3 linked regions of the Drosophila melanogaster genome follow. The protein of the gene in region 1 purifies or fractionates together with the protein of each later gene. This does not show direct contact. Each region holds a gene or a part of one and is shown in the gene's direction. Other genes may lie near its edges.

Evidence for each region. Proteins that work in one complex are often made in the same cells at the same time.
Region 2: the proteins of Gdi (region 1) and Rab35 purify together in Drosophila melanogaster (affinity purification with mass spectrometry, with the first as the bait; 2 studies listed by BioGRID). This does not show direct contact.
Region 3: the proteins of Gdi (region 1) and Rab5 purify together in Drosophila melanogaster (affinity purification with mass spectrometry; 2 studies listed by BioGRID). This does not show direct contact.

What each region holds. Positions count from the first base shown.
Region 1 is NT_033779.5:9,490,277-9,496,634, reverse strand, and holds Gdi (GDP dissociation inhibitor), read left to right. Parts: upstream 1-1,758; 5' UTR 1,759-2,019; coding exon 2,020-2,413; intron 2,414-3,531; coding exon 3,532-4,007; intron 4,008-4,089; coding exon 4,090-4,551; 3' UTR 4,552-5,459; downstream 5,460-6,358.
Region 2 is NC_004354.4:20,155,130-20,162,222, reverse strand, and holds Rab35 (Rab35), read left to right. Parts: upstream 1-2,350; 5' UTR 2,351-3,275; coding exon 3,276-3,327; intron 3,328-3,694; exon of another isoform or gene 3,695-3,865; coding exon of another isoform or gene 3,866-3,884; intron 3,885-3,953; coding exon 3,954-4,253; intron 4,254-4,386; coding exon 4,387-4,640; 3' UTR 4,641-6,457; downstream 6,458-7,093. Other genes in the region: Phf7 (PHD finger protein 7), read left to right, coding at 1-283, 348-1,305; aspr (asperous), read right to left, coding at 6,915-7,093.
Region 3 is NT_033779.5:2,359,138-2,367,575, reverse strand, and holds Rab5 (Rab5), read left to right. Parts: upstream 1-2,302; 5' UTR 2,303-2,515; intron 2,516-2,621; exon of another isoform or gene 2,622-2,739; intron 2,740-2,854; exon of another isoform or gene 2,855-3,263; intron 3,264-4,071; exon of another isoform or gene 4,072-4,171; intron 4,172-4,794; exon of another isoform or gene 4,795-4,901; intron 4,902-5,720; exon of another isoform or gene 5,721-5,837; intron 5,838-5,990; 5' UTR 5,991-6,147; coding exon 6,148-6,416; intron 6,417-6,483; coding exon 6,484-6,604; intron 6,605-6,774; coding exon 6,775-6,943; intron 6,944-7,006; coding exon 7,007-7,107; 3' UTR 7,108-7,120; intron 7,121-7,182; 3' UTR 7,183-8,010; downstream 8,011-8,438. Other genes in the region: Axud1 (AXIN1 up-regulated 1), read right to left, coding at 1-1,255.

The sequences.
Region 1 (6,358 bases):
ATCCAAAGCCGCAGAAAAACAAAAAGCAAAGTTAAAACCGCGACTGTTTGAATCTATTTGCCTTTTATCAAATGCCGGTAAGACAAAGAGAGAGAGAGATAGAAGGGGAAAGAGGATGGAGAAGCCAGAACGATCGGAGGCTGTGTGAATGAGTGAGCGAGATGGATGCGAGCAGGTAAAAAACCCGTCGTATATTTTGGGAGGATGGGGGCCGAGGGCGGTGGGCGGGGCAGTTGGTCTGCAACGCCTAACTGGTTCTTGGCAACCAACTTGTTTTTTCTGTAGATTGCCGCCGTCTGTGCTTTATTATGTTTTTTCCCTCCGACTTTATGCCTGTGCAATTTTTAATATGGCAACTTGATTTAAACGAAAAACTTACCCAATAAAATCGTAGACGTGGATTTATGCTTGTTTTTCGATCAATTCAATTGCCTGCGGTTATTTTATCCTTGCCTTCGTGGGGGTTTTGTTTTATATTTTTTGTTTGAAACTATTTTTACACGGGGATGAAAACAACTTTTCAGCATGGCAACAATACAAAAATGTTGCAGCACATTCAAAGCAACAACAAGAACAACAGGGAGGTAACATATGATAACCGAGGTCAGGCGGAAAGTGTGAGCGGGACAGGAGATTATCTTTTTGTTTTCTATTTTGTATGTTTCCTCAGCGAAGGAATTACAATAAATAATTATTTCCCAAAGACTTTATTTCACTTGGAGCACAGCATAAAAAATCCCTGAGCCGCTCACTTTTTCACTTCCTTTTGTTGGGGTTTTCGTCTTTTTTTTCGAACTTATTTTTTGCCACGAACTCGAGGTTTGGTTTGTTGTTGTTGCTAAGAATTTCAATACAATTATGGCCCAAATAGCATTTTCACTTTTCCACACAAGCACGCAGCCACCGCACGCACACACACTCACACAAGTACACAGTTGTTTGGCTCCGTTTTAAATGAAAATATAATCAAACATTTACATTGCCGTGTGTTTTTGCTCCACGAAAATGTATGATTATGTATGATTAGTTTTCCTTGCTCGCTGCACGCGCGAAAATCCGACGAAACAAAGAAACAAGAAACGACGCGAAGAGAACGTAACAACCTAAATAAACCCGATACAAAAATCGCGTCCGAATCGGCTCGTCGTTTCAACCAAAATCACCAGTAAAACTTTGCAGAGGCTTCGGGATGATGTGGCCAGACTCGCTAACTGTGCTAACAGCTGTAAGAAGAATGCCCCTAGTTTCGGAATAAATGTCTATCGTGTCTCCGATAATAAATGTACGCAAATGTTGGTTTTCTTGAAATTATTACATACATTGAAAAGTCTAATTGCTTATATTGTATTCTCTTTAAAATAAAAAGTAATGAACGAATGCGTGAGATATGATATAAATAGAGATCTCCAGTAACTTAAAACTCGATAGGTAAACAGCGTTCAAATACTGTTTACAATAATTGCTGAATATCTTTTTATATTTTATATGATCGATCTGTGAATCCTCCGTTTTGTTATTTTATAATGTCTTGCTTTATGCAAGACCAACACATGCATTTAACAAATTTAAATTGCAACTATAAATTTGCGCGCGCGACATGCAGCCCTGAAATGTCAATAATCTAGGAAATAAACTTTTGCAAAATCATAATCAATTCAAAAATCTTGCACACACGTCTCTAAATCTTTCGTACATTAATGCTCTGTGTGCAAATTAAATATCTTATATGCTTGTTTGGTTATTTCCTTATTTCCATGTACAATTAGCAGCCGATAGCAACTCTTTCTCATGCAGCCCTGGGCATGTACGAAAACGTAACGTAACGTGACCAGCAAACGGCGTGACGGCAAACGGGCAGCGCAAAGCGGACGAGCGAAAGGCGAACGAGTAGAGAAAAATTATTGAGCGCAGAGAAAAGTCCACCAAATCGAACGTCGCAGCAAGTGAAAAGGGCGAAAACCGGATAAAAAAAATATATAAATTACTGTGATTGCAATATATAAATAAGTGCGATCCAATATGAATGAGGAATACGATGCGATTGTGCTAGGAACGGGCCTCAAGGAGTGCATCCTCAGCGGGATGCTGTCCGTGTCCGGCAAGAAGGTTTTGCATATTGATCGAAACAAGTACTACGGCGGCGAGTCCGCCTCGATAACGCCGCTGGAGGAGCTCTTCCAGCGCTACGGACTGGAGCCGCCCGGCGAACGATTTGGGCGTGGCCGCGACTGGAACGTGGACCTGATCCCCAAGTTCCTGATGGCCAATGGCCAGCTGGTCAAGCTGCTGATCCACACGGGCGTCACCCGCTATCTGGAGTTCAAGTCCATCGAGGGCAGCTACGTTTACAAGGGCGGCAAGATAGCCAAGGTGCCGGTGGACCAAAAGGAGGCCCTGGCATCCGATCTCATGGGTTCGTTAATAATGCTCTTTTAAGTCCCGTTGCCTTTTTGCTTGGCGGTGAGCCCCCCACGAAAAATTGTGCAAATTACCAGCTGTGCTTGTGTGTGTGCGTGGTTGTATGTATGTATTTTCGTACTCGACTGTTATCTGCTTCCCCTCTCTCGCCCGCACCACTCTCTTTCTCTTCTCTTCTTTGTCTGCCTTTTCACTCGCTGGCAAAGCTCTTGTTGTTGTTATTCCCTTTTTTTTAATGTGACACGTATGTGTGTGCCGAAAAACAGTTGTTTTCTTCGCTCGCCAAAGAATTTCTACCAAAGTTTCCCCCACACATATCCATTTCCACACCATGTTTGTTGGCCCAACTATTATCGCCCTATTCCGATTGGAGTCGAAATTTTAATCGCTCTGCGCTGATTCATACACCTGCCGCTAATTGGTCGCCTCCATTTTACACCTGAATTTCGCTTTGTTTGAAATTTAAGTTTTTCCCTCTTCTTCGTGGCAGCAATGCAATTAGCTAAAACACGCTCTATTTATTTATGATTGGCTCTTGAATTTTTCCATTTCAATTTTTACTTAGTTTTTGCAACCAGGTTTTTGGCCAGGCGCATTGAACCCCCTTCACTTTACAGTGGAGATTGCCTATAAACGAAAACATTTCATGACTTTAGATGTACTACATTTTTTAATTTTTGTCTTTAATTATCAATAATTTGCATATAAAATAGAAATTTTCAATGAAAATGTGACTATTAGGTAGATTTTACTTCCGTTTGTAACAATACCTATTGGATGTCTCAATTTGCTAATTGAAAGTTAAACACCTTGTCCATGCTTCACTGTGTCCGCATTACACATATGCTCGGAATGACGTCATGGGGTGGCCAAGTGGTTTCTGATTGTTGGTGGTGTGTCCTCCGCCCCCTAAATTGAAGGTTTCCCACTGTAGTTGCGTGCTGTTGTCCCAGTGAGTGTCTGTATGTGAGTGTTTGTGGCATGCAAATGAAATGGAAACGGGAAACTTGAAACCCTCGGGCTCGTGCACTCCCTTTATATGCAGATCCTGAACCCCAAACTGACCAATATGGCATTATGGATATACATATATAAATGTGACTTTACTTGCAGGTATGTTCGAGAAGCGTCGCTTCCGGAACTTCCTCATCTACGTGCAGGATTTCCGAGAAGATGACCCCAAGACCTGGAAGGACTTTGACCCCACCAAGGCCAACATGCAGGGTCTGTACGACAAGTTCGGACTGGACAAGAACACGCAGGACTTCACCGGCCACGCCCTGGCCCTTTTCCGCGACGATGAGTATCTGAACGAGCCGGCCGTGAACACCATCCGGCGGATTAAGCTCTACTCCGATTCGCTGGCGCGTTACGGCAAGTCGCCCTACCTTTATCCCATGTACGGCCTGGGTGAGCTGCCCCAGGGATTCGCACGTCTGTCGGCCATCTACGGCGGCACCTACATGCTTGACAAGCCCATCGACGAGATTGTCCTCGGCGAGGGCGGCAAGGTGGTGGGAGTGCGCTCCGGCGAAGAGGTCGCCAAGTGCAAGCAGGTCTACTGCGATCCCAGCTACGTGCCCGAGAAGGTGAGATTCACAAAAGATTTGTGTAAACTAGCCTATTAGTCTTTTGGAAATAACCATGTATTACATTTCTTTTATGTGACAGGTGCGCAAGCGTGGCAAGGTGATTCGCTGCATTTGCATTCTGGACCATCCGGTGGCCAGCACCAAGGATGGTCTCTCCACGCAGATTATCATTCCACAAAAGCAGGTCGGCCGCAAGTCGGACATCTATGTGTCGCTTGTGAGCTCCACTCATCAGGTGGCCGCCAAGGGTTGGTTCGTGGGCATGGTCTCGACCACCGTTGAGACCGAGAACCCGGAGGTGGAGATCAAGCCTGGCTTGGACTTGCTGGAGCCGATCGCACAAAAGTTTGTAACCATTTCGGACTATTTGGAGCCGATCGATGATGGATCCGAGTCTCAAATCTTTATTTCGGAGTCTTACGATGCGACCACGCACTTTGAGACTACTTGCCTGGATGTGTTGAACATATTCAAGCGGGGCACTGGCGAGACGTTCGACTTCTCCAAGATCAAGCACGAGTTGGGTGACGAGGAGCAGTAAACGGGAATGAAGGCCTCATCTGGTTATGGTGCATTTGGACAGCTCAACATCAGCCACAAACATCGTAGATCGTCTCAGCGTCGTGGCCAAACCTTAAAAAAAAAAATACCCAAGATAAGAAAACCCAAAATAAAAGCCCAAAAAAACTAAAGAAAACCGAAAATCCAGAAATTGTATTACGAAAATGCTTTCCATCGAGAGATGAAGTTTTAGATGTGAAACGAATTGCTTGCTTCGCGCAATATTGGATATGCCTAGAAAATATATATATATATATACCAATATAACATAAATTATACAACATGCAGTCGCGTATATATGTACGTCTATATAAATGTATAACTAAGTGAGTGTTAGGCAACTAAATCAAATTCCACAGATTCAGCTTGTGACTCGAGCAAAAGCGCTAGACTCGACAAACACTCTCCCATTTCGCCGATAGGCCAGTCAGTCAGACGATTACGCTTGGACTTTAGTTGTACGAGTATATAATAAAGTATATATATATATATAAAATATGACATCGTATATATATATTATCTATGTATATTGCCCTTCTGCTTGGTTTTTCTTTCTTTTTTTTTTTTGTGATCCACCCAATTTGTGTGGCTGCCAAGGCTCCAAACGAAAGCATAACACATACCTATAAACACGACACAAACTCTTACACATGCATAGTGCAGCATTATAATTGTAATTGTAATCCCCAGAAAGAAATCGATGGTATTGAAAATGTAAAACAGTCGAAAAAGTTCATCGCAGCATATACCCAAAAATAATGCAATTGATCGAAGCGCGGCAAACGACATATAAAGAGAACAGAACCTAAGAAGTTTGTCAATGGTATAGAGAACTATGGTATTCCGCATTTTCAGAATTTACATTTTTAATAAAAATTAAAAAAATATAAACATTTTTTTTTTTATTTACTATTTTTATATTGAGGGATGTTATGTTTGCTTTCCTTTCCCCAAAAGTCTGGTTTCTTTTCGGATTAAGGAATCTTGTCCTGGAGTTTTTCCACCGACTCATTTTATTGAACGTTTTCAGTTTCCGGTTCCGTTCAAAATGTCACTTGAGTTTTATAGCTACCAGCTTTTTATATGTCCTGGAGCTTTTCACCTTTCACACAGACTCATTTAATTTGAGATTTTTAGTTCTGGTTCCAGCCAAAGTGGCACTGAGTTTTGACGTCTTCAGCTTTTGTAACAGCCAAATGGCGGCAGATTTAAACTACATCAGTATGCACTGCAGTCCACGTAGTGACGAAGCGCACCATAAGTGTGTGCCAAGGCGGCTACTATATACACACAGAGAAATGAAAATCTGCTGTTTGACAGATCCTGGAAGAATATGGAAAGGATTTAGACGTATTCTTTGAGGTGACTTAGGATGGTCTGGTCTGTAAAGGAAATGGAAGGGATCTGGCCTAATTCTGGGTGGGATCAAGGAGGTATCTGTGTGGTGTCTTGTTAGGAAGGGGGACCTCTTAGTATAGAGACTCGGTTGTAAATAAAAATCTTTTCCAGACTCGCCATCCAAAAGTGACGACGACAGTCCGGGCGTTTCAGAGTTTGTTAGCTTTTCGCCGGATTTGAATCACGCAGCCATAGGGTTATAGTTATGACCAGGACTCCTCGTTGCCTCTTTATGTGACACAATTACGAATTCCGCAGCAAGTGTTTGGGATGCATTTGAAATACTTGCCCCCTTCCCCTCACCCTACTCACTCCGCACAAATCACCCCTTATGGCCGTGGTAAGTGGGAAATTCTTATTGAATTGCATGTGGCATGCCACACGAGTCG
Region 2 (7,093 bases), on another chromosome or scaffold:
CGTACAACTCGTTCTGCCATCAGCATGTGCTGGTGCCTCGAAACCGTCCGGTGTTCAAGAATGACGAGGAATGTCTCCTATGCGCGGAGGACGTGGTTGCCAAGGGCGAGCGCTTCAGCGTGGTGACCTGCCTATACGCGCCGTGCTGCCGCAATGGATGGTTCCACCGCAGGTGCCTGCAGCGCTACGCCAACTCGTCCGGCTACTTCTTCAAGTGCCCGCTGTGCAACAACACAGATGTGTTCCGCAGGGTGGCTTATATGGGCATCGCGGTGCTGGACCAGTAAGTTAAAACCTACTACATTTGGAGCAAACAAGCCCAACTAACCAGTACTTGTATTCCGCAGAGACGCTTCCTGGGAGACCGAGCCGGACGCCTTTGCTGGGCAGTACCGCCGCGATGTCAATTGTACGGCCGCGTTGTGCGTTGCGGTCTCTGGTCGCGCCGACACTTCCGCCATGCTGCTGTACTGCACCTCATGTGGCGCCAATCCGTCACATTACCTTTGCACGTTGAAGACTCTCCAAAACTACGTCTGCAAGGTTTGCTCAGCCGTCAGCCCGGAGGCAGTGCCCGTTGCCGAATCGGACTCGGATGACGCCGGCTCAATGGACGACTCGGCCGAAGCCCCACGTCCAGGTCACCTAAATGGTGATCAGATTCAAGAGAAGCTATCACCCTCCCATTGGGATGATTTCGGCTCCTCCGACGATGATGCCGTCTTTCAGCGTGCGTTCGATACCAAAGTGCAGAGTCGCGTGGTGACCCTCTCCGATGATCAACCATCTACTTCTGCGGGGGCACGCGCTTTAGCCGATCGTGGAACTCGCACATTTGAATCACAGGGAACGCAAACAACATTTCTCTCAAGTGTAGTAACCTCGTTTCGCTCTGCTACTGCAACTGCGACATCATCCACATCCACATCCACATCCACATCCGCATCGACACTTGATAACCAAGAAAACACTGAGCCGTCCACATCGAATGGACGTCGTCCCTGGCGCCCTAGATACGTCTCGCCGCCTAGACACGTGTCGGATAGCGATGACGATAGTGATGAATATGATAGTGATGAATATGAGTCGAAGAGGCGCCAACTTACGCCCACTGCCGCTGCGCCGTCGAATGGCAGGCGTCTGTTGGGCTCCATCTCGCCGGAGCCGAGCACTCCTGCTCCACGTGTCTTACGTCGCCGCACTTTGGCCAACAGGCCTTCCTCACTCGCCAACATGGATATATCCTGTGTGGCCAATAGGACCCGCCACCGCTTGTCCAACCACATGGCCAGCCGCAAGGATTAGGAGAACAGATGACATTACAATAGATCACACTCGCACAAATCCATGTACACGGCAAGATCAATATGGATATATCCTGAGTGGGCAGGATACCCGCAGGGACTAGGAGAACAGATGACAACATCACGATACATAACACTTGCACATTCCATTAACCATCACATCGACTAGGTTGTGGACCAAATGCGTGCGTTTGGTTCGCACCCGTTATTCTCTATTTTCCGCCTTTTGTACATATAAAATTCCATTAAAATCCTGTTCTCCTAGCGGTATTCGCTAATAAGATGCATTTACCATTTATTTGCTTTGTTAAGTAAGCTAAGTAAGTGCTCCTTTCCACACGTATAAATAACTTGTATACATATTTACTTTAAGTAGCTGTAGACATTATTTTCCCCATCTGACTTTCTTTTCAGCAGCTCGCAGTGCCTACATTATTTCAATTACTCTAAGCATTACATTTTTTTGACTAGCGATCTAAGAATCCCTGAATCCAGTATCTGTATCAAGAATCCCAGTATCTGAACGCTAAAATGAAATAAATAAAATTAAAATATTTGAAAAATAAGTTAGAATGATTTTATTTGGATGTTGAAAAAACTTCTCAAAAGTTGTAAACTACGAATACTCACTTTCATTAAGAGTATAGCGTTTTGCTTCTAGTTAATACCCGCTACAAATCGGTATGAAAGTATATAATATTTAGTTTTTTTTTTGGTATTAATATAATATGGGCTTTATAAGTGATTATTTGAAGATTTTTTAAAAATCGCGCCATTCATAATAAATAAGTGCTGGATATGGCCAAAAGTTTATGCACAGGTGGCAACGTTAGCAACCCGCTAAACGGCAACACTTGCGATAATGTTCTCTAAATATATCGATACATATTGATATTAAAAAAAATTGCCAGTATTAATTTATTAAACTAATTTAATTTTTTGAGTGGGCACATTGCATATTTAGTTACAGAAAAATTCGACTTTATGCTCCGGCTAAATGAATCGATGTTTGTGGGGTACTATCTATCCTAAACTATCGATAGCATAAACATCGCATTTGGTTCCGTCTCTAGTGTGGGTGCGTTAGCAATAGTTTATCCAGAATATGAATTAACCAGAATTAATCCGCAACGCCGACGCCCACAAATTCCCACAAATCGTCGTCCTTTCAGCGCTGCAAGAGCAACCCGGAAGCTGGAAAGTTCGAGACCGCCGAGAAGCCCAATATAAATTCAACAGTCAGCCAGAGCTTCACTCCTGTGTGTGTGTGCGTGCGTGCGTATGTGTTCGTGTGTTGTGTCTGTGCTACAGTGTTGGAGAGAGCGAGACGCACGATTGCGAGGGAGTCGAGCTTTGCGAAAATTTGCCAGCCTATATTGAAATATTTTCGGCACCAAATCGCCGTCTTATCCGCCAGCAAGCCATTGGATCTGATGGAAATGAGCCTGCCGCTCGATTTCTCTTCGCAAATCCGCTGTTAAAGCAAAAGCAACAATTGTACCAGTGGAGCCAAAAAAAGAGAAACACACCTACCTAATCAAAGGAAATTAAATAACAAGGCGGCGGCAACAACACTTACATAAATTAACTCGCAACGCAACAACACTAATAACTATAGCTTATCACACAGCAACAAAAACATCAGCAACAGCAGCAAAAACAACAACAACAACAGACCAGCAGCCAGAAAGAACAACAGCTTATCTCAGATATTCAGCCGGCTGCACCAGTGCGAGCGAGAGGGTCGTAGCTTGGGGCGAAAGAGAGGGCGCTTCCGAGAGAGTGCGAAAGAGAGAGAGAGAGAGAGTAAGCGCAGGGAGTGTGCTCCTGTGTGTGTGAGTGTGGGAGCAGGCAGCAGAAAAAAAGAAAACAAAAGTATATTTTGCATTGTTCGACGCGCCTAACTGTAAATATAAAAGCACTTGCAAAAACAAGGAAAAACACAGAAAAACAGCGAAAAAACGTCGAAAAATGGCACGCGGCTTCGATCATCTATTCAAGTTGCTAATAATCGGCGATAGCGGTGAGTTTCCCAGGCATTCCCGTTTCCCACAGACCAGGTGCTTAAAAATAGCATCGAGTTGAAAATAGCAGGTGTAAATTGCAATTTGTCCCCGTTTCCTGGCCAAAAACGCAGTTGTCTCCACCTCCCTTTCGCATTACTGCATCTGATTACCATTAATGTATGTTACATTTAAAATGCTAACGCCAACATGGCGTATGAGTAATGTTGTTTTCAGTTTCCATAATACTTTCAACATTCGTCAGCTTCTTGTTTCTATACTCAATGTTTTTGGCATACTCAACATGTGTTAGGTTGTACTAATTTTATATATTTAATCATAAATGCAAAAGCACTTTATATCAGTCCTGTCCTCCTCCTAACGTAGCTATCTACATATTCATTTGGGCGTATTTCGAGAAAGGTGGTCTGGCTCGGGCAAAACCAGGCTCATGACTAATGGTGACGCACTGGCAGGATATACAGCTTGATATGCGAGCAGACCAGCTGCGGCGGTAACCGGAGCAGGAGAACACTCCCCGCTCCACAGCAATGTCATATGCCGAATGGGCTTACTTGTGTGTAGTAACGATATCACATTTTTGTAATACGAATCCCATTCCATCTTTCCATCTGATCCCCTGCAGGCGTGGGCAAGTCGTCGCTGCTCATCCGGTTCTCGGACGACACATTCTCAGGCAGTTACATCACCACCATCGGCGTGGACTTTAAGATCCGCACCGTGGACATCGAGGGCATGCGCGTAAAGCTGCAGATCTGGGACACGGCCGGGCAGGAGCGCTTCCGGACAATCACCAGCACCTACTACCGCGGCACCCACGGCGTCATTGTCGTCTACGACGTCACGAACGGCGAATCCTTTGCGAACGTCCGCCGCTGGCTGGAGGAGATCCAGAATAACTGCGATGTGGTTAAAAAAGTATTAGGTGAGCCTATATCGTATTACGCACAGAATTGGTTGACCCGTACTGAGAAGTAGTTGTTGGCTATGCCAAGCGGAGCTTAATTAGTAGACAACTTACATTATCGATATAGACTCATGTTTCGATTCCTCAACAGTGGGCAACAAGAACGACGATCCGGACAGGAAGGTGGTCATTACCGAAGACGCGCAGCGGTTTGCGAAACAAATGGACATCGAGCTATTCGAGACATCTGCCAAAGACAACATAAACGTGGAGAACATGTTCTTGTCGATTACGCGACAGGTGCTCGATCACAAGCTGCGCACCTCCCCCAACGAGCAGCAGAAGGACACGCTCCATCTGAAGCCCAATCCCAAGGGCAGCAAGGGTGGGAAGTGCTGCAGGTGAAAGCGGCTCCGGCACGGGAGCTGGCATTGCAACTGGACCGACGGCGACGGCGGCGGCGGCGGCGGCGGCGGGACGGGAATTGGAACTGAAATTAGGACCAGGACCTGGATCAACTTCGGGGGCGGACGGAATCGTTGTGGGGGCGCGTAGTTTGTAGGGTTCTTGGCTTACGATTCGACACAGACACTCACTCACATAGACATAGCTAACACCACCAAACAACCAACAACAAGAAACCACACAAAGCAAACAACACGAGACAACTGAACAACACTCACACCCACTAGAGACAACAATTTTTTTTGTTTTGTTTTTTTTTTTCCTCCTCAGTTTTATTCGGAATAATGCCAGATAGCCGTAAATTAAAGTGTAAAAGTGTAAAGCGCAATTAAATGTATTTAGCAATTTATATACATATTAATATATACATACATAAACAAAATTGAAACAAATTGCATATTTATATACAAGAATATATTTATATTTCAAACGGAAAATTGTATTTACAATAACAAGAGCGACCGCAGGAAAAGGCACGAGGACGCAAACGCCTCGCTCGCTAGCTAAGCTACGAAACACATTTATAGAAATATATAAATATATATACATAGATATACATATGTGGGGAGATCAAATTATTGGCTTCCGATCGCGACTCTCCACTTTTAATACTCCCATAGTTTAAAATTTAAAAACGAAAGCTCTGATCTGCCGACTATCAATCGCGAAAGACACGTTTTGAATGAATCTGAAATTTTATTTGCTTGGAGTGATGCTTTTAAACATTTCGTTGCTCTCGGAAACTGCCTTACTTGTTAAGATTTCATTTGATATTATTGCCGCCATTCCGTGATTGATTTAACTGGATAAACTAAAGAACTTCAGGGACTGTTTCCAATTCTTTTGGATGTGCTTGCTTAAAATGAAAAACCTGAAACTGTCAGCCAATATGATTTCCAATGCAAATTTTCTGAAGAGAAATAGTTGTAGGTAATGTTTGTATCTATTCGAAAACCGGGGAACCAATACTCCAATTCTCTGATATTATATACATACATTACATATGTACCCTCAGAAAGAATAAAGATTGATCTTTGGAAAAACACGATTACTTGCGCTCGGACTGTAATTCAAAACCATGTTTTTAATCCATAGCTATGTTGAATATGTCCAAAATGTAGCCACTTTTCATTTAAGTCCTTAGGCATTGCTGATTTAAAATTAAATAAGATATGATTGGCAATCAACATTTTGTGGCATTCTTTTATGCCACAAATGCATTTAATACATCGCTACATTTGTATTGTATCTAAGTTAAAAACGCACCAAATCGCACTGCAAGCACGTTCGTTATTTTTGGTAAACTTTCCCGATTTTACAATTTTTGTTAGCTTCTAAAAGTAGTTGCATACTCTTCGGCGACTCTATGAAACGAGTGAATAACGTAGTAACGAAGCGCACTAGAATTTATATTTATATGTTCACAATGTACATATGGGTTCGCTTTGTGGTAACCATATTTATTCTGCTTAAAAAACCATTCGATTCATAGATTTATTTTAAATACCACAATAATCGATTTCGGTTCCAGTATATATTTATTTATATGTAAACCTTGAGCTATACCCAAAATTCAAAGACTATGTTATTGCGTTTGAATACCAAAATGAATTACCTAGTTGTGGTTTGGGCTGAAAAAAGCTTTCAGAAAGTGAGGCAAACTCATAGTTAAATACTATTCTCGAATATGAAACCTATATTTCATACCAACCAAAAGAAAACTATATATTTATATAAATGTATATATATATCTATATATATAGATGTATATATTTATCGATCAAAATAAAGAAGGCAATTTGATTTTCTAAAATGTTTGGTCTTTTGCATTTAGCCGTTAAGATTTTGGGTTGGATTTCGGTACTAAGACAATCAGTAATATAATCTTTATATCTTTAAAATGGAATTTTTTCCCTTCTGCAGTATTTGAAAACAATTTGTTTAACTTTTTTATGATGTATTCAGTTGTTTGTGACTTTACGGATCCCAGAAAAATAGCACATTGTTTATGATTATTATTTACTTGTATTATTTATTGTTTTTCAACGCATTTTTTATCGCTTCTGTTGGGGAGAGCACGAGGTTAGGGCAACGACTAGTACGGGAAGTGGGCAGATGCGGATTGGTGCGGATTGGGATGGGGATTGGCTGGGCGGATGGTGACTGGTTTGGCAGGCAGTGCGGCTCCGGGACTATACGACTCCCCATCCCGCCTCAGTGGTACTTGGCCACGGGAAAGGTGCGCGTCTGGCGACAGGACACCAGGGCGTCGCCCGACTGTCCCTGTGGACAGCGGCAGACAGCCAGGTGGGCCTTGGGCTCGCAGCTGGCTCCAGTGGCACACTTGCCGATGCAGGGATCGATGCACTGGTAGTTGATGCAGGCGCGATGGT
Region 3 (8,438 bases), 7.1 Mb from region 1:
CATCAATTTTGCGCACGCCCGCCGCTTTCAGCAGTGCCCTTCTCTGCTTGGGCGTCACCGGCTGTAGGAAGCCATTGGAACCGTCTTCGGCATCGGAGCCACTACCCTCGCTTAGGTAATCCTCCTCGGACTCCTCGCTGTCGTCACTGCTGGAACCCCGAGGCTGGAGTTCTTGGTTCTGGCTGCGATGTGCCCGCCTCAACTCCGCTGCGTGCTCGGCCAGGGTCATCGTCTTAAAACCTACATGCCTTGCACCCATGCCCAAGGTGCATCCGCCCGCCGTTGGTACACAACTGAAGCCCTGTTGTCGTGGGAAGTAGAACACCTTCACCTCGTCAAAGTTGATGGAGCGCTTAGTCCGCTTCTGGGGGGCTACTGGAGGGGCAGACATGTCGGGCACCAGATCTATAGCATCGCTTTCCGAATCTTCGAGTCTCCGTTTAAGGTTGGACCTTATGGGCTTCGTTTCCACCTTTTTCTGGATTTCCGGCTCGGCTTCTTTCTCCGCCTGATCCTTGAGTAACGCGGAGGTTTCACTTCCTAAACCAGAATCAGACCCACCATCTCTAAGCTCATCCTCTTTCGGTTTGGCTGGCTGGGCAGGCTCCAATGATGCTTGGTTGTTGGACACCACCTCCGCTGATCTGGTGGCCATTTCCGTCTCATTGTTCAACTTCAGCCAAAGAAGTTCTCCACTGGTGTCGACCTCCTCGTTTGTGGTGACCGACGCGGAGTCAAGAATGTTGTCAATTGCCAGTGGGTCCTCGGAGACTGCGTCGGAAGCTATTGAAGAGTTAAGATCCGCATCGCCTAGTACGATTATCTCATTATTAGGATAGTTCTCCAGCTCAAGGAACTGCTCCTCTAGTTCGGTGTCCGCCGGGCCGTGAGCAAAGTCCGCCAGTTCATCATCGAGCTGCTCAAGCGGCATGGGTAGGGAAGCCAACGCCTTGGCTTTCGCTGCGTGCACCTTGCTGGCGTCAATTATGGAGGTTTTGATCTGCCTCTCGATGTCGTCGTCGTCATCGTCCAGGTGGGGAAATATTTGCAGCTGATGCTGCCGCTCCTCCGGTTCGCTCTGATTATCCTTGTGATCCAGATGCCGCTGATCCTTCCTTTCGCCTTCGTCGTGGGCAGTTAGGCTGGTGGTCCCCTCCCTTTGGCCGGCGGCCTTGTTTCCTGATGGGCTAAACATATTGGAGCCGCTCGCATTTTTTTGTATGTACGTAAATATTTTTTTTATAGGACTAAACATGCTATCCGTGTCGAGGTCCCTAGATCATTGAGTGTCCTTTGGTCATCTGCAAGAAAGTAGGAGGAAATGGTTTTACATAATGTTGCTTGGAAATTTCCTTCGCAGGTAGCGAAAACGTATAGATCAGGTGTGTATGTACAGTGTCCATTCGAGAGGGAGAACTGCCGGGAATGCGAAACTTTATTTCTGAGTAAATTAATTACACCTGTTTACGTTTCGTAAGAGCCCCTGACCAGGTCCTAGATCCAACAAACAAATTGCCAAAAGCCTAATGAGTGTACCTTTTACAACTTGTGTAAATATTTAGAAATATTAATTTAGCTCAAGTATTAATTTTACTGCTCGCAAGAAATCAATTGTTTTCTGTGTACGTGTAATGGTTTAAAAATATATATCTTTCGCTTTAATGTTCCGCTCACTTGTATGTTCGCTTTTTCGAATGAGCACTGTGCTTGGATGGGTGTGCGTGTGCAGAATCCTTTGAAATCCTGGATCCCCGAGAATTTCGCACGCTAGAAAGGAGACCACCCGAAAAGTAGACATACCGCTAACCAAAATCAATATTGATTAGCTTCTTTTTTTGGGGGCCCACCTTTGCGCTTATATTTTCGCAGCCAAGCCAACGGCCGGACTCGCAAGATCGGTGGGATTTATCCTTTTTGCAATTTGCGTTGCAGCTGCGATAAAAAACTGAGAGCGAGAGAGATGACGAAAGACGCAACTGTGTGCGTGTGTTTGTGCAAGTCTGTGCGAGTGTGTGCGTGAAGGAGGCGAATCAGGACACAAAGGTCGGTATTCTTTTATTAACACAATCACTTTACTATGCGCCTGGCAACGCCCAAAATTATGATTTATTTTTTAAAACTCATTTCGCACTTCCGTAAACTTTTTCTTAATTTTTCACTTCTTCTTTTCTCGCAATGTTATTACTTCTTCTATTCAGTGTGCCCGTCGCTGGACCCCTGCAACATGACAACAGTCCTGCACCGATCCAAATGTACTTAAAAATACCAGGCAAAAATTGATAAAAGTGTATACGATAGAGCGTGATAGATAAATGTGACTCACTAGTAGATGGTGCGTGTATTTGCTAAGAAATAATTCAGAAGAAAAATTAAAACAAATTCACCAATGGAGCCGGTTCCTGCAAGCTCATTGATTACATAAATTCATAGTAAGACAATTATTATGTAAAATATACCCGTTTTACGATTCATTAGTTGACTCGTGCAGCAAAGAAATATGTTTTGTATATTCACGGTAAGAAATGTTTATATTAAAATTTTATTTATATTGTGTAATATGTTGGTCCCACTAATCGATAGAAATATGTATCGTTGGTTGGAGCCTCTGCTAACGAGCAGAGCTTAGGATATGTTTGGCATATTCCAACAGTCGTCCTGCGGTCACACATAAAATTCCAAGAAAGTTGTAAGTTAAGTTTACTAATAAACCAGGCGATAATTTCGCTAGCCATTAGCAAGGCAAGGAAGCTAAAAAAGACAAAAATCTTTGGCAAATCAATGGTGACGTCGCCCAGGAAGTTAATCGACAAAAACACGACCTGCGACGCGACGATAATTTTGCGAGAGGCGAGTCAGTCGCTATCTATCTCCCTCTGCGCTCGTTTCGTTTCGTTTCTTGGGGCTGTTTTGGGGCACACAATTGAAAGGAAAAAACGTAAATGCAAATGGTCAACTGGTCTCCAAGTGCCGCGTTTAGAAGAGTGCGTAATTCGGCGGAAAGTCGAGTGCTTTTGCGTTGTTGTTTTCGCTCACCCCTCGTAATTAATTAAGAAAGTTGTGTAAAATTTTTTCGCCCCGTCCGCCATAGTGCGAGTGTAAGAGCGAGCGCGATAGATGGCCCTGAATTTTGGGTGCGTTGCCCATGAGAGTGGGCGCTAGAGCGAGACGGCCGTACGACCTGCTCCAAGTGCAGCGTGCACAGTGGGTCGCAAGGCCTAAGATAGTTCACGAATCTAATTGTGAAGAGATAAAGAACACTGCAGGTGCACTCTGGTATGGAGTAAAGCTGGCAAAATCGGATCTTGGCCCGCATTATCACCCAATTTATCAGCGCTTTACACGCCAAAACGGATCAAAAATCGCGGTTCTTTGTTCCGCCTGTTTTGCGTCTTTAGTTATGAGAGAGAGTGTGGGTGTGTGGTGTGTGTGTATTTATCGGCAATCCGTTCCCTTATCGTGCAAGTTTCTCAAAGAACTGTCTTTGTCTCTGATGTTTCTATAAAGCCCAAATGTAAACAAAAACGCATCCTTCTATTTGTTTATTCTAGACCTTTTCGCTCGCTTTGCAAATGGAAGACCCGCATTTGTCAAGCTATACATATTTACGGAGTGATGTGTGGTGTGACAGTAAATATAACGCTAATTGTATTCTCCGTTTTCTAGACGTGCTTCAAATATGCGTGCTGAGAAAATTGCACTTGTTGACTTTTCGAGTGAGGCAATTCCACAGTCAAGCTCACGTGAATAGGGCCATGTTGATATAATGAAAATGTTTTAAGTTTCCAAAGGTGGATTTAAAACTTAATTCATGCTTAAAATTAAGCACAAGCTATGTGGACGTTCTTCTTTATTTCATATTTATATTAAATATCTTTAAAATCTAACATAAGATTTGTAACTTAATTCCACGTATTACAGCTATTTGATTGATAAAGGCTGTGGCTACGTATGGTTGTTGTTCTCGCTCTCATTCTCTTTTTTGATTCACTTGCATTTGTATTAGTCGCGTGAATGACGCATCGTCAGCTGTTCTAAAAGAACCGTAATTTCCTGAACGTTGTTTTATATTTTATTGAATTTTCCGCAGACGGGCGCGAAAGTCACTCCTGTTGTCCAAGTGACTTTAAAGTTTAATAAACCGCATTAATTACGGTTCGAATTAAAATTAGCGGTGAGTTATTTACTGACAGCTGTCCGCTTCTCAAGGAAAATTTTGCATTGGCTTAGTGAGACACACTGCTTGTTTTAATTAAATTTAAAGTGCAGTTTTCGTTTTGGCTTAGACGCAAAAAACAGCAAAATACGTCATTCGCTGGATAATGAAAAGTAATTGTAGGCGAAATTTCTTTATCGCAATGAGAGTGCGGTTTTCGAAAAGAGAGACCAAGTTGTCGGCTTCTGTATGTGTGTGTGACTGTGCACTTGGCTCCAAAGTCTCCGGGAAAAAAACAATTGAATGATCGGAAGGGAGGGGGAGAAACAAACAATTGTTGACTGACTGCATTTTTAATGGCAAAGAGAGGGCCTGCATATTTCGCTCTCTCCCTCATTCCTTGTTAATTTAATAACGCCGCACAGCGTACATGTTTGTCACGCTTTTACTTTCTCCACGTCTCCCCGTTAATTTATTTTGCATTGATTTTTATCACAGCTTCCGCCCTCACTCTGTGAATTCTCTTCGCTCTGCGCTCACTTCTCTCCACAAAGTAAACAAGACTCGTGTAGAATTCCATACCCCGATCTTCGTAGATTTATCTCCACTGTACAGTCTGGCTTCAATGTGTTAATTAATTTCTGTCGGAATTCTGAGATTCCCGTCGTCGGTCATAAAAACGAAAAGCATGTGAACGATACTTTGTGAAGATTTGAAAACGACTTTAGCTTAGTTAATATATGCAACAGTAAATATTTTTAAACAATTTTAATGATTACTCTCTGTTTAAAACGATATCTTGTTTCGGGATCAACGTATCTGTGGGACATCGGTAAAAGTGTAGTGGCCAATGGGGCGTATGATTCATAAAAGTGGCACTGATAACAAAAATACTGTGAATGCCACACGCATTACCGCTGAATAATGCGAGGCGTCCTCTGTGTTATGTACTATTATACACATATGTACACAAATTCACCCGCCCTCGAAATATTTTCCACCAGAAAGTGTGTGAATTATCAATTGCGCGGTAGCCCCTAGAGGAGCTGCAATAAATATCTTTTACGATAACTTAGATTTCCCGCACAAGGGACCGATAAGAATGTTGTAGTTTCGATTACTTGTAAACCCCTTATCTGCCACGAAGAAAGGGAAAAACAATAATTGCGCCTAGAAAGCGCATATAAGGTTTCCCCTTTGTGTTTGCCAAAGTATTTTTAGTTGTTGATGGATTTGTATTTGCACATGTAATTAAGAATGTTTGTGTTTGTGGATGTTTGAAGCAGTCACGCAAGGAATTTTCTAAACACAACTCATAACATTGAACATCTAATCGTGGAACAATTGCTTTCACTGATTTTCCTATCACAAGCTTATCAGTACTATTATGTTGCCAAGTGACACAAATAGTAATGATATGTTTTCGGATGTGTAACACTTATAAATATAAATATAAATAAACTAATATAAGCTCTAATGTGAGTTTTTGTAGGGCGTACTGCTTTCAATTTCAATTGAATTTATCAGTGACCATTGGCAGACGCTTCCCTTTTCCTCTGTTTCATTTACTGATGGAAAACGTCGGCTTTTTGTGCATATTCTCGGATATGTACATATTGAACTGGGCTTGTCGACGGCGTCATTAAACAAACAAAGGCGCCACACAATCATCTGATGGTTTTATGTGGGTTTTATATTCATCCACATGGGCAGCATGTTTTCAAGGGGACTGAGTTTAAGCCCTAAAAACGTACCATTATGGCAGAAGAATTGGAAGCACTCAATTTCGTTTTTATCCGTCTCCATTATAAATATGTACATTATTTGTATTTTGCAGATTCCGCATCCACACTCAGCAGCAATCTTAGCAGAAAGACTTACTCAGCAGAAGAGGGAGTGAGTTGCAGTAACCGTCCGTAGAACCAAATATCAGTTGCCATCTCAGAGGAGGAAGAGCGCATCCACATTCGCATCCGATCCAACCCGAACCGATCATGGCAACCACTCCACGCAGCGGCGGTGCCAGCGGCACTGGAACGGCGCAGCGGCCCAATGGCACCTCGCAGAACAAAAGCTGCCAATTCAAGTTGGTGCTCCTCGGCGAGTCCGCTGTGGGCAAGTCCTCACTGGTGCTGCGCTTCGTCAAGGGACAGTTCCACGAGTACCAGGAGAGCACGATAGGTGCGGCCTTTCTGACACAGACTATTTGCATAGAGGACACTGTCGTTAAGTTCGAGATCTGGGACACGGCTGGCCAGGAGCGGTAAGTATCGCTGGATAGATCACCCAACTGAAAGCTTCATCTGACATACTTATATTCGCTTTTGTAGGTACCACAGCTTAGCTCCCATGTATTATCGAGGAGCGCAGGCCGCTATTGTCGTCTATGATATACAGAATCAGGACAGTTTTCAGCGTGCGAAGACCTGGGTCAAGGAACTGCATAAACAAGTGAGTGTCAGCGGGGAAACTTGAATATCGTGCAGAGTGTTTTAATATTATAATCATTTATATTATTGCTCATGAAGTGCCTCAGTTCAATATTCTTAACTCGAGAAATTCGTTCACTTGATACGTAAATTATATTACATAAAATATGTATTAATAAAACTTTTTTCCAGGCCTCACCAAACATTGTCATTGCGCTGGCCGGCAACAAGGCAGATTTGTCAAACATTCGCGTCGTAGAGTTCGATGAAGCGAAGCAATATGCCGAGGAGAACGGGCTGCTGTTCATGGAAACCTCCGCCAAGACGGGCATGAATGTGAACGACATCTTCTTGGCCATTGGTAAGCTATAAGGAGCCGTCGTAAACGCTTCGAAAACTTTGCTAATCACTACCCCAACCACAGCCAAGAAACTACCTAAGAACGATGGCGCCAACAATCAGGGAACCAGCATAAGGCCGACTGGAACCGAAACAAATCGACCGACGAACAACTGCTGCAAGTGATGTCCCTTCGTAGGTAAGTTAATTGCGTTGGAAATACGGTTGCATTACTAACACAGTTTTTTTTTGGCTTTACAGAAAATGAAATTTCCAACGAGAGATTTGAAAAGTTTATGCTGATAATTATAAATAAAAAAATTATTTAAAAATTCAACAGAATCAGAAAGAAATACCTAAAGCCGGCTCTCGCAGGGGACGAATTTCATTTGAGAGCCACGAAACCAATAATGATAAAGACCACATAAGAATTATAAGCATTAAACAAAGGAGCTCCCATTCCCAACATAAACGAAAGTTGCAATTAAAGAAAGTTAGTTACAAATTCCCACACCCGATTTCCCCCATTACGCTCGATATCTGTCCAAAAAATATACAAGCAAACTGACACTCACGCAATTGAGCTAAAATATCAGTATAATTCCAACATAAACCATTTCAAATAACAACGCAAATTAATAATGAAAACTAAACATGAGAAGAAAGCGCAGGGTTTTTGGAGATTTCATCGTGTCGTAGAAAGTTTGAAATCGTATTGTATAAAAAAAAGAGAGAAACCCCGAAACCAACTAAGCGAGCAAAGAATATTTGTAAAGATTACATGTCGTGTAAGATTCTGAGCATTAAGTAAGGGGCAGATTCCAGTTGCAGTTGTTCTCAGCAGCGTTCCAAATAAAACAAACAAAACAAACAAACACCACAAGGAGCAAATGTTCAGGCCAGCGGCTGAAGATCCTCGCTCGCCTCGGTTTGTGGCAATGTGTGTGTCTCTACGGCTCCGGAGCTCGGACTCCAGATCCGGATACGGACGCGGATGATTCGACTCCGGGTCGCGGCGGACACGTGTGATAGTTGCAATTTATATAAATTATATATACACATATGAAAATGAAGGAAAACGAAAACCACAAAAAAAAAAAGAAAACCAATTATGCATACTTTTAGATTTTTTTATTTTTCAATTTCGCCTTGCGTTGAACTATTTTCCACATTCTAGCAACAATCGAAGATTTAATGCTACTATCTTTAAACGTAAACGAGAACGGAGATACTATCGTAATCCATAAAAATTAAACTTACATCTAGTATGCAATTAAGCGGAGAGGAAGTAAAGTGAATTAAAATAAATAAATAAAACAAATCGAACAACACAATACCGTAAACAACTTGTTTAAATCGTTCCACAAACATCAAAGATCCGATGCATATTTCTTTCCAATTCGTAATTTTTATGTTGTCTGTATGTATTTAAATTTAAAATTTATAAATTATAATAAATGAAAACATCGTATATACTTATATATATATATATATGACTGCGTATATACATATATGGT